2 separate regions of the Mus musculus genome follow, and region 1 is reported to be linked to region 2. The links are microRNA targets in miRTarBase. Many come from high-throughput screens and were not tested one by one. Region 2 holds a microRNA gene; the other region holds the end of a gene's coding sequence. Distances are between the middles of the regions.

The links. Region 2 holds the annotated microRNA mmu-miR-181a-5p (AACAUUCAACGCUGUCGGUGAGU, at 4,493-4,515, opposite strand). A microRNA usually pairs through its seed, bases 2 to 8, with sites in the 3' UTR of a target mRNA and lowers its output. Matches are read on the target gene's strand: a 7mer-m8 pairs with bases 2 to 8, a 7mer-A1 pairs with bases 2 to 7 and ends in A, and an 8mer does both.
Region 1: the mRNA of St8sia4 is a reported target of mmu-miR-181a-5p. Seed matches in the 3' UTR shown: 8mer at 1,522-1,529.

Annotation. Positions count from the first base shown.
Region 1 is chr1:95,584,816-95,592,962 of GRCm38, reverse strand. St8sia4 (ST8 alpha-N-acetyl-neuraminide alpha-2,8-sialyltransferase 4) reads left to right here. Exons shown (of 5, transcript NM_009183.2): 5 at 999-5,281. The coding sequence ends at 1,281. Among named protein-coding and RNA genes, the nearest start is that of St8sia4, 79 kb to the left of the region's middle.
Region 2 is chr1:137,962,836-137,970,982 of GRCm38, reverse strand. Mir181a-1 (microRNA 181a-1) reads right to left here and starts at 4,528; the gene lies at 4,442-4,528. It overlaps Mir181b-1 (microRNA 181b-1), which reads right to left and starts at 4,344; the gene lies at 4,265-4,344. Gm4258 (a long non-coding RNA gene) reads right to left here. Exons shown (of 3, transcript XR_003948014.1): 3 at 7,963-8,147.

The DNA of each region.
Region 1 (8,147 bases), 42 Mb from region 2:
TGGCAAGTAAGATGGATCTGAGAATTTTGAAGTATTTTATTGTTGTTACAAGTTAATATTATGAAATACATTTCACCATGGGGATACATCTTACATACTTAAGCTGAAATTCATGGTCTCACAGAAGGTTCTGGTTAATAAATAATGGGTCACAAAATAAACAAAAGGACAGGAATGTGGGCAAAGGACCTGAATGGAGGACTAAGATGGCATAGGAGGGATGAAGAAAAGAGGGTGGGGTAAGAGAAAACAGAAAGCAGCATACATGTATTAAATTACCAGGGAACATTTTACCAATAAAGAATTTTAAAATATCAAATAATATATAGTGAACTCTATTAATTTATTATAAAAATAGATTTTATTTGTCTTAGTGTTTTTGTTTTGTTGATATAATGCTTTAAATTTTCTCTATTAAAATATGGTTTTATGATTGGAGTTGAAAAGGTCAGTTGACATAATTTGAGTTAAGCATTCATTTGGCTCTTTTTGGGTCTTTGAGAATGGTTTTGTGTAAGCTTGAGGGTGGAGGTCAATGCTGGATGCTGCTACCATAGAAAAAATGATCAATGAGACTCAAGAATCCACCTCCCTCTGCATACCATGCCAAGGCTGTCATGTGACATCTGACGATCAAATCTGGAGTCATTGATGTTGTGATTTTCAATGACATTTACATCATTATGTAAATATTCTACTCAGAATGTTAGATACAAGTTTATTTCTGATTAATTTGGAATTGCATATTCTAGAATAGAATTAACCTATGCTTTCATGTCCCTTAGCTGTTTTTATGGAATGACAAATATATAAGGAGATAAAAGATAATGCAGAAGTATAAAATTTTCTATCTACATATATGCTACTTTTCAGTAACCACTGAAAAGTTTATTCATATTTATACATTGTGTTTGCTACATGATATGACTTTTATAGAATGTGCTCTTGTATATTACTATGAATTTTCTCTGTTTTACTTTTGTTTTTGTTTCTTCTAGATACTGGCTGACTAACAAAGTTCCTATCAAAAGACCTAGCACAGGTCTCCTCATGTATACACTTGCCACCAGATTCTGTGATGAAATTCACCTTTATGGATTCTGGCCATTTCCCAAGGATCTGAATGGAAAAGCTGTCAAATATCATTACTATGATGACTTAAAATATAGATACTTTTCCAACGCCAGTCCTCACAGGATGCCATTAGAATTTAAAACATTGAATGTGCTACACAATAGAGGAGCTCTAAAACTGACCACAGGAAAGTGCATGAAGCAATAAGGCACACTTTGGAGGATAAAAACTGAACACAGACTTTGTTTTTTTAAGATGCTTCTGGAGATTTAGAATCAGGATCCAAAATAAGGCTGGGATTCAGCATCCACCACTTGACTGAGTAGCTGAAATGGAAGTCTGTGTGAATTCACCACCAGCTGATGAAAAACCTGCAAAGTGCTCTGACTACAACATATTCTGACTTCAAGGGTCCTAGTAAGTGCCACTTCCATGAAGAATACAGTTTGAATGTATTATCAGTAGTGTTTACAAGATTCAACAGTGCACTCAACATCAGTTAGCAAAGCAAACATGTTCATCACTGTGGGGCAGCCACTGTAATGCCAAGCACACTGGAAGAGGAACCCAGGAGCACAGCTCAGCCCTTGGGACTTGAAAACATCCTTAGTAGAAATGAAGAAGGAGAGAGTTCAAGCAGTGAAATCCATGACATGAAGCAACTTGAGGAAACGCTTTCAGTCAGGACACTGAGAATGGTCATGTTTACGTTTTGCTTATATTTCTTGTTTGTCTTCTGACATTTATTTTGGTTTGGGTTTGGGTGCTTAGAAATTCATTTGAGATACAGAAATGGGAAACACATGTGAATGAGAAAAACGAACATCAAACAGTCCTTTCTAAAGTCCTTATATATTTTTAAACAACAGTCACACCAAACTTATGCTTGTTCGTTTGTTTGTTTGTTTTACTTTGCACAACTCTAAATCTCTGGATTATAGATCAATGGTGTAGTGGGTACCAGCCAAACTATACCACTCGATATTAGTAGACTATTATGAAGGAGTGATATTTGAAAAATGGTAAAAATAGCAGAAAAGTTTCACTCTTGGTACCAAAGATTATATCATGTTCCTACACAGTAAGCCACTCTCCTGTTATAAAGAGAATATATTATTAACATGAACACATTTATATGAAGTTAATAGGAAACTCAGCTCTACACAGTTAAAAATTTCAAGTTCAAACATTACTTTTAATTTACTTCTTTGACATTTCATCATAATTTTGTGGAAATCCATGGCCAGGTAGATTGTTGGATTGAAGTAGCTGAAATGAGACTTCTCATTCAGTAAAATCTTCTTGGCTATTCAGGTGCAGAGATCAATATGAAGCACTTACTATTATTTTAAAATTTCTCTCCACAAAATAAGATGATTAACTGAGTGTTGTTTTCATAACAGGTAATTAATTCAAAGCAGTTTAACAATAACACATCAACAATACGTCAAATGAATTCAGTTAACAAGGATTTTTCTGTAGTTAAGTACAGTTCCATTATGACTGCATTTTTTAAAACAACATGAACTTACTCATAGAGTGACTTACTGACTTACATACGTGACTGAATTGACTGGTGGCCAGGCTTTCTGTTTCTTTTGAAAGCAGAACTATATTCTTACTTCTGCTTTTGCCTGCAGCAATTTAACATGACTTCCTGTTTCTTGGGGAAGGCAATCAGAAGAAAGCAGAAATGGCATGAAAAATGTGTATGTTTTGTTTTTCTAAGTCAGGCAATCTAAAATGAATGAAGAGCACAGCAAAGGTATACATATATATTATATATGTATTCATATTCTGGACAAGGATAGTCATGTAGTACAGTTACCAAATTTTTAATATTAGCTGCAGTGTTTTTTAAAACAGTGATAGAATCTCAGGATAAAAATAACAGTTTCTGAGAATCCATGTATCTATCAGAAAGGAAAAGAGAATGGATATGGGCATTTCATAACCAGTATATACCTTTATCATTAAATTTCATTTTTATTTCGCAATTCAATACATTTAATAAAAAGTGTTAAATATGTGTTATGTAGATGTTAAATTGAAAGTCTAATACACTGGATGTGTGATCATTGGATAATATATAAAACTTATTTTGAACTCTATGCAGATCTGTGTTCCCACCAACAGCTAACATGAATTCCTTAGAAATCCAGAGGTTGCAAGTAAATTCTGGCAAGTAAATTCTATCTTGGCACTCATTCAAAGTATGTATCTGAAAGCAGCAGCATACCATCTTGACTGAAATTTTAAGAAGGGAAAAAAAGATGTGTTTAAACAACATTTTGGCCACAGCAAGCACAGCTTAGCCATTCACTTTTGCATGCATTGATGTCTATCTCTTACATGCATTGAGTAGTGCCTTTTAATGTCTTTGCATTGATTCTTCACCCTCTGCTTTGTGTTTCCTAAATGCTTGCCCAGTTAGAGAAATGTTCAGTATCAAAAGGGCTTCAGATTTGAGAGATAACTACTTTTGTTCATCTCAGGGAACTTTCAGTACATAAGAATGGATTCAATTAAAGACATTTAGCACTCAAAGAGGAAATATTGTGTGAGATTATTTCATCCTCACACACACACCCTTTCATTTGCCATCACTGCTCAATCCCTATCACGGCTTTCTTACAGGAGGAAGGCAAGGAGAGAATTGAAGACTAACAGTAGAGAAAAGAGTTAGGACTTAACACACATGATGGCATAAGGAATCATAACAAAATCAAATTATAAGCATATACTTGAACTATCTGTGATTTCCTTAATATGGTATGCTAACAGCTTTATTTGTTTTATTTCCTTTTTCTAATGTTTTAATCATGCACTTGGGAATACCCAGGTAGCTGACTGTGAAATATCCCAGTCACTGAGCTAACATGATTGCTACTGTGCTTTTGACATGAACAGACCATGGAAATATTTTCATCATTGCTACTCAGCATAAACTATACTTAATAAAAAGTTGTTGAAAGAAAACATGAATCAATAATAGATTTTCAGAGCAAATCTAGTGATTCAGCCCACAGGACCAATGAAAGTACTGTGGAAGCTTTCCTCACTTAGAGAAGGTGCTGGGCATTCAAATGTCTTCATGTGTTGTATTTCATATGAGCTGTATATCAATTGTTAATGAAAATCTCCACATATATCCTTACAGAAATGCTTTATTCAAGAAATGCTAAGGGTAGTGTACAGACAAGTGATTTACTCAGTTACTATTCAAGAAAGGGTAAGCAAAGTAATTTATTTATAGTTGTGCCAGTTAGTCATAATACATATTATGTGATATTTGGTTCACAGAGTTGTTTTCATGTGATTATTATGAGGACTATCTATAGTTGTGGAAGGGGGATGGAAAAGTTGTGTATAGTTAGCTGGTATCTCTACAAGTTTGAGAGTTTCCCCATTAAATGTTATCAATATACCAAGGTTTTAATAAAAACAAGTAAGGTTAATTATTTGTATTTGATAAACAAACTCCAAATACAACCCATCTAGAAATAGATATTTTATTATATATGTGCTATAAATATATCTATATAGTACAAATAGAAATGTGTGATGCATATATACCATGTTATATATGTATATCTGTGTGTACACACTGATTCTGTAATATGTGCACAACTAGATGTGTGTTATATTGATATCTTCAGGGTCTGCACTGTGAACTGCCCTGGAGATCATGGCCACTTTAAAAACAGAAGTTCTTTTGAAACTTCATTTACTACTCTGCTTTAAGAAAGACCTACTTTGTAGCTGAATTATATGTTCTTTCCTAGAGTAATAGTAAGCAGCTAGTATGTTCAAATCTTTCAAAACAAAAGTCAAGGAAAAAATATCTTCAAGCTGGCAATGTATTTATTTAAATTGCGGTTTTTTGATTGTTGGTCTAGGTTGTGTGTTTCTCTTTTATGTAGCGCCTTTTAAGAAATACTGGGGTTTTTTTGTGTGTGTGTGTCGGTGAAAGCACAAGTGTTTTTGATGTATATAGCAAGAAGAGAAAAAAGTTTCCAGATAGCTTTGCTGCATAGGATAATTGCTACTGAGCCTTTCTTATACCATCTGTGGAAAGGAAGGATGAAGCTTACTCTGTAGGTTCATTCTGATCAACAATATCTTCTGTTGTTTGTGCATAGCAATGGACTATTACTGCTTTATCATTTGTACAATTGTAAAATAAATTAAATTACTTGTTTTTCAATTTTTTTCTCTTATCTTCTATATCTACGCCTTCGACTTCATGGCATATGTCAATATGGGGTGGCTGCATTTATGAAGGTTTCATTACTGCTTAAGTCTTTTCCAATTTCAGCCTCACTCACAATTAGTTTAAACATTTATTTCAAATGCACTCATGGATGTATAAGTAATTTCAATACCAGCATGAATATCAGGCAGCACTCAAAAGTTTGGGGGTGGAATATTTTCTGTGTGCTTTGGAGTCTGGGGCCTTCACTACATAGGTTACTGCAATTGTTTCTAATTCATACTTCCACTAGGTATTATAGCTGAGTCATTTGCCCTCTGGGACTAGAGCATTGCTGACTTTTTATACAGCATTTCCTAGGGCTGCCTGTTAATATGTGACTTCATCTGCAAATTGCTGCCATTTGCTGTTTGCCTCCCAGAAGATGACTTAGAAGGACTATTTACTTAAATCGTTTTCCAGACCTTTCAATAACTTACAAATCTATGTTTTCAGTCATAACCTCTCTATTCGGGAACACACTTTAAAAGTAATTTTATGAGGTACCTTTCAACATTGTACAATTATGAGTCAAATGCTACTAGACACTATCACAGGACTATTAGGAATGGTTGATAAGTCTATATGTCCTTTTTATTTTTTCTTTAAGCTTTCATACCTACATTTACTTTTCAGTATCCATAAATAATGTTCATTCTGTCTCTATCTGTTGGGATAGTCAGTTCACATGCTGAATCCCAGCTCTGATGGTGCGCAACAGCTCACAGAACTATGTGCAAGCATTGGTGAATTTCAATCAATTCTATAAAACTGCATGATAAAAAAAATCTACTTTTGCTGTTAAATACACATACCTTAATGCGTGTTTTAACTTAAAATATATTTAAATGTCTAAATTGTGACTAGAACCTGACATCATTATTTTCAGTATACAATTAAATGTGCAAGGGACTAAATGGCATGTCCTCATACAGTTCTAGTGTGCACACAGGAAAAATTAAACATTATAATATGCAACAGACTCTGAGGAACAGTAAAATTAAGCAGAAAATAAACTAATATACAAGGGACTGTATTTATAGTAATAACAAACTGAATGAATGCTTATAGTATCTCAAGATTCATTAAGCTAATTTGTGTTTCACCTTTCTTGTATTAACAGCGGTTAAACCATCTACCCTTTAGATTCAAATACTTTTCTGAATACACACAGACACCCCCCCACACACACACAGACATATACACACACATATATAATAGTATTTTTCATATTTTATAGCATATAATATATAATCTACAATATACATATAATATATACATATATATATATATATATATATTAACTTACTCACTTTGAATAAAACTATAAGACCTAGGTACTGCCATCATTTAAATTTGACACATTCTAATAAAAAGATTATAAGATGTCTTCAAGGAAACATGATTCAGAAGTAAGAAACTGGGGACTTGAACTCATTGACTCTAGGATGGACTCTCTCCTGTATCTTAGGACTATACTCTCTCAGAGCTTCCTCTTCCTCACTAGCCGTGATGCCCTTTTGAAATGTGGTTAGAGAACGTTTTGCAGTAGATGGTGATCAGCACAGAGACACGTAGCTGGTCACTGTGCTCAGAAAAAGATGTTGTGGATTGTTCAACCCTAAATGGGGCAACTGTATTTCAATCCTTCATTAGAAGGCTCAGGGATCATTGTATAAAGTGGGGAAGAAGGCTTCTCAGAACCCAAAGCAATGTATGACAACAAGAAAGGAGCTTCTTCTGTAAGACTGCATGGCAGCGGCTCATATTAACTCTCCGTAGTTGTTACAACAAACCTAAGACCTTTGCAAGCTCAAGCAAGATCAAAGTTCAGTATTCAGAGTAGATGTAGCCACAGAGTCTCACTCCTAGGCAAGCAACTATTGCCTGATAGCTACTAGGTGATGGGGTGTCAGTGTTCTCTAGTCTAGTTCCCAGTAAGTTGAGTATGCTCCAGTGTTAAGGCCACACCTCCAAGCATACTTCAGCAGCACAAAGTAGACTTGAGAGGTAAGTGAATAAAAGTACATTATGTTTGCTAGATCAGGAAGTAGAGAGTTAATAGGAAGCTCTCAGATCAGTAGAAGCTTTGTTTCTCCATGTTCCATGACTCAAATATTTAGAAATTTTAACAATTATGGTCTTACTGTCAAGTTATGACGTTTTGACCAAAAGTCTACAATCTATGATGTTTCGAGTCCATAGGACCTCACTGGACAACAACTCAGAAGAGATAACTGAGGCTTTTTATGTGTACTGGTTTTTTATTGGCTAGATTGTAATGTTTAGTGAGAGCATAACACCCCAAGAGAGGGAAGCAATATTTAAGCTAACACCATCCCTACACCAATATTTTTGGAGACTCTACTTTAGAAGGTTAATCTATGACTTTTTTGAAAGGCTATTAGTGCTGCCTTTCTCTGCATTCCTCTTATTAACTTGCCTTCCCTCCCTCATCCCAGTTCAACCCTCCCTCTTCCATCCTTTTCTTTGTTTTATTTATACCAGTGAATTCTATCTTGCATCCCTTGAAAACCTCTTGTTTCCATGACTCCTTACTAACTTCCTGATGCCTGTGGGTATTCCATATGAGACAATATATCTGAAGACTCAAAGCTGACGTCAACCAATGAGAAGTAAACATGCATCCTTTTGGTTCTGGGATACCTTCTTCAGAGTCATCCTTTCCATTCCCATTCCTTTAACTTTGAAGTTCATAATTTTATTTTTATTAATACTTTAATAGTATTAAATTATGCAAATATATGAGTTTGATTGGCATTCATTGGCTGATTGATATTGTCACTTTTTAGATATTTCC
Region 2 (8,147 bases):
ATTAAATGTTTTGGAATTCGGTACAATGTATTTTGATCAAATTAACTCCCAATTCCTCCTGTAAGACCTTCTCCAAATTCATGGTCTCTTTTGGTAAACTATTTTAAGTTAATAACCCATTGGCTCCACTTTGAGCATCCATATACTTTTGGGAGGGGGACCATCCACAGGAACACTGTTGATCTTCTAGGAGCCGCATTCTTAAAGAACCCCCAGGCATCCCTTGAAAAGAATCTGTGATTATTTGCTTCTGTAGACTCCTTACCTGTCAGACTCTACACCCTCAGCCCTAGAACATGAACTCCACAGTACAGCTCTCAAGCCCTCGCGTGGCCTGCACTGTGACATTTGCTATGTTAATGTCTTGTCCTATTTATAAAAGAATATCTTCTCTCTCTAATGGTTTGTGAGGATTAAAGGAAAAGTTGTATCTCTGTTTCTGTATGATAAAGGTAATTCCATTTAGCCTTATTTTTGTAAGTTCATCAAATCTTTTTTTTTAAATTTATTTTTTATTAGGTATTTTCCTCATTTACATTTTCAATGCTATCCCAAAAGTCCCCCATACCCACCCCCCCAAACCCCTACTCACCCACTCCCCCTTTTTGGCCCTGGCATTTCCCTGTACTGGGGCATATAAAGTTTGCAAGTCCAATGGGCCTCTCTTTGCAGTGATGGCCGACTAGGCCATCTTTTGATACATATGCAGTTAGAGACAAGAGCTCCGGGGTACTGGTTAGTTCATAATGTTGTTCCACCTATAGGGTTGCAGTTCCCTTTAGCTCCTAAGTGTAACTTTTCCCTTTCTTTCTTTCTTTCTTTCTTTCTTTCTTTCTTTCTTTCTTTCTTTCTTTCTTTCTTTCTTTCTTTCCTTTCTTTCTTTCTTTCTTTCTTTCTTTCTTTCTTTCTTTCTTTCTTTCTTTCTTTTCTTTCTTTCTTTCTTTCTTTCTTTCTTTCTTTCTTTCTATTTTTCTATCTTTCTTTCTTCTTTCTTTCTCTCTCTCTCTCTCTCTCTCTCTCTCTCTCTCTCTCTCTCTCTCTCTCTCTCTCCCTTCCTTCCTTCCTTCCTTTCTTTCTTTCTTTCTTTCTTTCTTTCTTTCTTTCTTTCTTTCTTTCCTTCTTTCTTTTTCAACCAAAGTTTTTAGTGTTCAGGACAGCAAAGAGGCAGATATTGTGGCTTGAAACAAAACACAGCAATATAAAAAGAAGCACACTTTTTGTGTGTGTATATGTATGTACATGCACATGTGTATGTGTATTTATGGAGCTATGCCACATATATACAGGTTCTTATGGAGGTCAGAAAGGGACTCCAATTGCCCAGAATTTGACTTGTAGGCTGCTAGGAGCTACCTGATATGGGTTCCAGGCAAGTCCTGTTGAAAGAATAGCAGTGTTCTTAATCACTGAGCCATCTCCCCAGCCCCATGAGAAAACTTCTCAGAAAACATCTACCCAACAATAGAGATTTTAACTAAGTGAATTTGTCAATAACTGTACTTGAGAGAAAACAACACATGAAAATGAGATGATCTCTTTTTTGAACTACCCAAAGAAGAAGAAAGAGTTATGAAATATAACTAAACAGCCTAAGAATGCCTTTGAATTTTGAGAACATTTTGTTTTCCTGTATATATTCCTTATCATATCTTGGCATTACAACTTGGACAATGACTGCCTACTATTACTTATAATTACATCATAAGCATGATGTCATAAAAAGCTGTGATGCTAGGACTCTGGAAGCTGAGAACAGAGTAAGCCACCAGACCTATATGGTCCACACATGGAGATGCTGCCTCAAAAATCGCCGTCTTTAGAAGTACAACCTGGGATATGAATTTTGTACTTATCTTCCCATCAAGAATCAGTAAGACTTGTAATTCATAAATTTCTAAAAACTCACCATTACATAGTGAATTCATGTGATAATAGTTCGTGTAGCTCATAAAAAGTCAAACTCAAATGAGTAATTAAAATTTAATATTTTATTATGCTTTGAATTCAAGCCTATATACATGAACAGTACAATCTTAAGAATTTTTTTTTACAAATTGACTTTTATATCATTCACATCAAACACTCAGACTGTTTTAAAGAAACATAAATAATAATAAATAATGTACTAAAAATTTAAAGTGCAAATATGTGGAAAAATTTTGTCACCCCATCAGGTAAATGCACATTGAAATCATAATCATTTTATGCCTACCCCCTGTTAGAATGGACATTATCAAATACATGGTAGCAAGTGACAAGAGCTAAGAGGGTAATGGAAAGGAATAAAGACACAGGAAACCACTGTGAACGCTAGATGTAAATTAGTGCAACTATTTGGGAAAACCGGATGACATGTCTTCCAAAAAATGAAAATAGTATCCCTAAATTATATGTCCTCACATCCCTACATCCTCTGTGTGTGTGTGTGTGTGTGTGTGTGTGTACTGAGATATGTATATCAAAGAGGTATTTGTACTCTCTTCATTTCAACATTATTGATAATAGCCAAGCTTTGGTAACAAAGTGTCCTTCAATCAATGAATGAGTAGAGAAAATATTCTGACATTATGGATGTTTTCATAGGTATACACACACACACACACACATATATATATACACATATATGTATACACACACATATACCTATATATCTACATATCTCCATTACCTTAGCATATATACGAATACACACACACACACATACACACACAAATACACATATGAAATGAAATACTATCCAGGCTTAGAAAAGTTTATCAACAAATATATACCTGGATGAATTTATAATCAATGAAATAGAGGCCAGTGCCGCAGGATCCACTTAAATATGGAACTTAAAGGGAATGATTTTATGGAAGAAGAGTAGGAAGTTTGCTACCAGGGGTGGAATAATACTGGTGATTTGGTTTCACCAAGACCAGCTTCCATTAAAAAAAAATCTGCACAATTGGGAGAGAGCAATGTTTCAAGATGTCAAATTGTGGGCTGAAGAGAAGTAATGAGAGAACACACAAATAGAGACTCTTCTGCAGGTTACTAATTAAGTGACGTTTCCAAACTCATAGCTTTTTAAGATAGAAAAAAGAAGGGGGCTGTTCAGTGAATGAAGCAGGAATAGAAACTTTTTTTTGAACTTCTTGTTTTTTGTTGAGATTAGAGCCTTGTCATACGTTAAATGGAACGAAACAGACGGTGGGAGAAAGGAGTTATGATAGATAGAGATGCCCCAAGCAAGGCAGGCACTTGTGAACTAACTACGTAAAATACTGTGGGAATGAATATTCTGAACACTAGAGCAAGGTCCCAGGAATGGATTTCTGTAGTGGGAGTTGAATGTATATCATAATAAACTGATCAAGAGAGAGAAAGGACAATATGTTTGATAGATTTTTTCCCAACGAATTAAAATCTATTAGGTACCATGTACTAGGTACCATGTACACACTGTATGCTGAACATCCTGTTATAAATATTAACTCCAACCACTGTACTTACTATTGGAGGTGATGAACCTTAATGACAGATGTTCTTTTTGAAATTATAGAGCCAAACTAGTTAGGAAACACACACACACACACACACACACACACACACACACACACACACACACACTTGCTTGAAGACAGTCCCTGGAATCAAGTCTACCATTTCAGAAGAAAGTAGAGGGTAAATAAAGATGATGAACTATAATCTTAAATCTGAGGTCTCTCTGGGGAAACAAATCTATTGCATGATTATAATGAGCCCCTGGATAACAAAGTACTTGGCTATTGAGGTACTATCCCTCTGCCTACCAATTCCATAGAGAGTAGAGCCATTTCAGCGATTCTTTATGCAGAGCAAAAGAATTCCCTCTTGCTTCAAGCCCATTTTGACCAAGAAATCTAATGAAAGATGAGGGGATGGTTATTTTCTGTGTAACAATGTGACGGATAACGGGGCAGGAAGTAAGATATTTCTTTGGTTCTTCCTCCCACCAGCACAGCAGAGCAGGAAGCCGTGCCAACCCAGGGCTACACAGTTGATTCTGGGCATCCAACACTTTAGCATTTTTAAGAAATGCCCCATTTGTAACCCCCAGGAGTATAGAAAAGCAGTATTCTTATATAAATTAGTGACTTCCTCACAGAAATAGGACTTGATATGAATTGAATAAACAAACCTGAAAGTTCAGACAGCAGAAGTTAAACCGAGAAACGGCGTTAATACCCCCAGGACCTCTATTAGGGAGGGAACGTCTGTTGATTGCGACAGCAAAAAGCGGGGCCACAGTTGCATTCATTGTTCAGTGAGCTTTTCTACACAGTTCAACCCACCGACAGCAATGAATGTTGATTGTGACCTTTGTAAACATAGTCTCTGAAGAGGCGGGGAGAATCCTGTCGGGTCCTGCTTTGCGGTTCTGTCTTCAGCAAACGCAGAGGGCCATGGAGTAGATGATGGTTAGCTATAGGGTACAATCAACGGTCGATGGTTTTTATTTGAATTCCAAACTCACCGACAGCGTTGAATGTTCACTGAAGCAACCTGTGAGGCAGAGATGTGCTGATTTAAACAGTATCTGTGGGAGTCTGGAGCAGGAGGGAGGCAGAGGAAAGCCCAATCCTTTAACCAAACCTGTCACACATTTTAAACCATTTCAAAAGAGTACAGAAGAAAAGAAGCAGGATTCCTCCAGCCCAGAGCTTGGCAAACCTCCACTTTGTGCTGTGTCAAAGAAAAGAATCGGATTTTTTTTTTTCAAAAGGGAAGAAAAGTCCTTTTGGGGGGAGCTTAGTTACAGGCTGTTAAAGACAGGGAGAATTTATCATTCAACAAAATTGGAACTATCAAAAAGCAAAACAAATAGTATCTAAGTATCTCATAATTTAAATATTGGTATGTATATAATAAGAACTGCAAGGACGCATGTAGGTCATGCAGAATCAAGCAGAAACCACTTAGGTTTTCTCAAGTTACATTGCTAACAATTTTGAACTTCTATGTTTACAATGTGCATGGAATAAGCATTTATTTTACAATAGGCATTTTAATTAGTATAATTTCTTTTAAACATACTTATTTTTAAAACAATCAAGGAATCAAACCAATTTAGCACATCTTTCTTTGCTTATGACACAAGACTTTAAACTACAATGAAAATTAATACAACCTATGCCTACTGCCTGAAATTCAACTCCTCTCACTTTGGTTATTATATCCTAATATTGTTATTTGTTTTGATTGAGTGGATCTGGCAGTAACTTCTATCCATTTCCTAGGTGTTCTTGAAATGAAGTGCATTTACAAGTTAGTATGAACTCTATTGAGCATGTCTTCAAAACTGATTTCAAATATCAACTTAAACAAAAATCCCTTTGTACTCCTCAAAACTAGGGTAGAAAGTTACTACATTATACTTATGTAGACTCTTAAGTGGCTTTAATAAGTATATATATATATATATATATATATATATATATATATATATATATATGTGTGTGTGTGTGTGTGTGTGTGTGTGTGTGTGTGTGTGTGTGTGTGTAACTATTAATAAAATATTGGTGAACCATTCAGTCCAAATTTTTATACATATTCATTTTATTTACTTAGAATATTGTATGCTAAACCTGTAATCATTTATTATCTTGTACACGAAGAGATTACAGGACAAGTGTCTCTGGCTGGTATTTTGAGGTAGATAAGGTAACGATCTGCTGATGGCATGCATTCAGACTTCAGATAGTTACAAGACATAAAACTGATGAATCTGAATAGTCCTGTGTGGCTTCCTTTGAGATAGCTTTCCTGCAGAGGGCTGTCTCTTGTGGAAGGAAAGCAAGTCTTCCTGGGACCATCTGTGTTATCAGTTTCACCAGAATGCATGTTGCTCATGTTCCCTTGCTTGACCACTGCACTATCATATTCAGGCCAGCATCCCATTGCTTCTATACATACCTGTCATTGCTTTTGATATCATTTTTTCAAGGCTGCTGAGCTGAGACTCTAAGCCATGATCATTGCCTTATCTCAATATACAAAATTGGAACTACGATCAAGCAATTTCCATCCGAATCACAATTAATAGCAAAGCACCGCAATGTGAGGGGTTTCCAGAACCTTCTAAAATTCTCTGTAGAAAATATAAGTCCAAATTTCTCAAATTCTTAGAATAAAATTACGGAGAATACTATCATGAAGTTCTTAGGAGATTGAAAGTGATTGGTGTTTAGTAAGAAATTAGATTAAACATCACATCACTGACATATTTTAACTCCTATTTATCCAATGAAACATGTACTTTTCTCATGGCTATAGTTTTTGATGAGAAAAACCTCTCAATAACTTAAACTCACTCTCCATGAGGAAAAGCACCTCTGCTCTTGCTGCACCTGCCTCACAGTAAGAGAATAACTTCAGGACGGTATTCTACAGGGGAAAGATGTCTACTTGCTGATTTAGCTTACCTTTCCTCGGCTTTCTACAATGCTGGTTCCAATCACTATTTTACTAGCTAACCTTGTCTGCACTGTTATTTTCCAAATTTGATAATTGGCTGGAATATTAATGTTGGACAGTATTGAAATTTTACATTTTCTGTCAGGTGTCGAGTCTTATTTGACTATTTTTAGAAAATGTTAAGATTCCAGGATTCTAAATTGGTGTTAACCATCTGCTTCCTTGCAGTTTTTCCTGAATCAAGAGCCACCAGAAATATGTCATTTGTGTGCACGTAGGCAACCATTCTCCCTTCATAATTTTTGGAAGGTCTTCTGGACAGGTTAAAACTGACTTGCACCATTGCCAAATTTACTTTAGCTTTTATTTCTCCTCCCGGGGCTTTGGAAGCATTAAGAAGTTCAGCTTTGCTTAAGGTTAGCGGGTCATAAATAAACCAAAGCAATTTCTTTGCTTTGAGCAAGAGGGTCAGAGAATACATGAAATATCACTTTTAAGCAAAGCAAACTTTAACATGAATTGACAGAGGAGCATGAAAAAGAAGCACAGTGCGCCTCAGTAAAAGGCCACAGGGATTCGGGATGCTGGGCTTGTCTGTTTTAGAAATAGACTGTATATCTTGTTTGATGACCTGTATTTAATTTAAGTGACTGCCTCTGCCAGTCCTTTCCAGAGGGCAAGTGTGTGAAATAGAGCATCTCACTGTCACTCTGCAGCCCTCTCTTCTGCCGGATGCCTTGACCTGAATTGGGATGGGGGCATTGATCTGACAAATGAGAGGGAAGGAGATGGCGCTGCCACGCACATTTCATCCTTAAATTCTAGTCAGCTGGAAATTGTCTTCGTGGTCTGGGGTAGGAACACATTCATAAGCTCATTAAAAACTAGTTTTCTGCTGTGAATATGACTCTTTTCAAAATGCAAGAAGTAAGAAATGTCATACTCGCAGTAGGAAACATTACTGCCTCCTCCTTTCCAAAGCAAGCGCATGCCCTCTGTGAAATATGATGAAGAAGATTCCAGAATGACTGGAGTTGGTGTTCTCAAGACGCCACTTCTTAATGTCCATGTCTATTTCTGTTGGGGTATCATTTATCTGTTCAAGAAATCTCATGAAATGTCTCTGCTCTAGCAATTTTCTCTTCCCAGTCAGACAGATAAGAGCTCAAGTTACAAGTGCTCACTCTTTGGGATTATTATCATAATCACAGGGTCCTCTGCCCATCTCAGTAGGAAAGGTGAAAGCATCAGAGAGGCCAAAATGGAGGCAGTACGGTTAAAGAGCTCAGCGGAGACCATAGGCATTGGTCTCCACCGAAGGGAAATAGGACAGTCACGCCAAAGCTTGACTGAAAGACAGTCATCACTTTAGAGATGAGGGCCCATAGGAATGATACTCCTCTCTTTCAGCACTGTTGTAATCTACATTATTCGCCCTACAAAATGTCTTATCGTTTTGCTTTCTGAAAGTAAAATGTCCTAGTAGTCTATTTAATAAAAATGTCAGTGATTGAAACAAACAAACAAATAAACAAAACACTGGATTGATTTTTAATGTACATATCAGCTACATTTAAGTATAAGAAACCCACACAGTTTAGTGTAATACATATACATCATAAATATTTTATGCTTTCCATTTAAAAACAATATACAAACTGAAATGTTTACAGTAATAAAAAAAGACTTAAAAATGAACCAATATAACT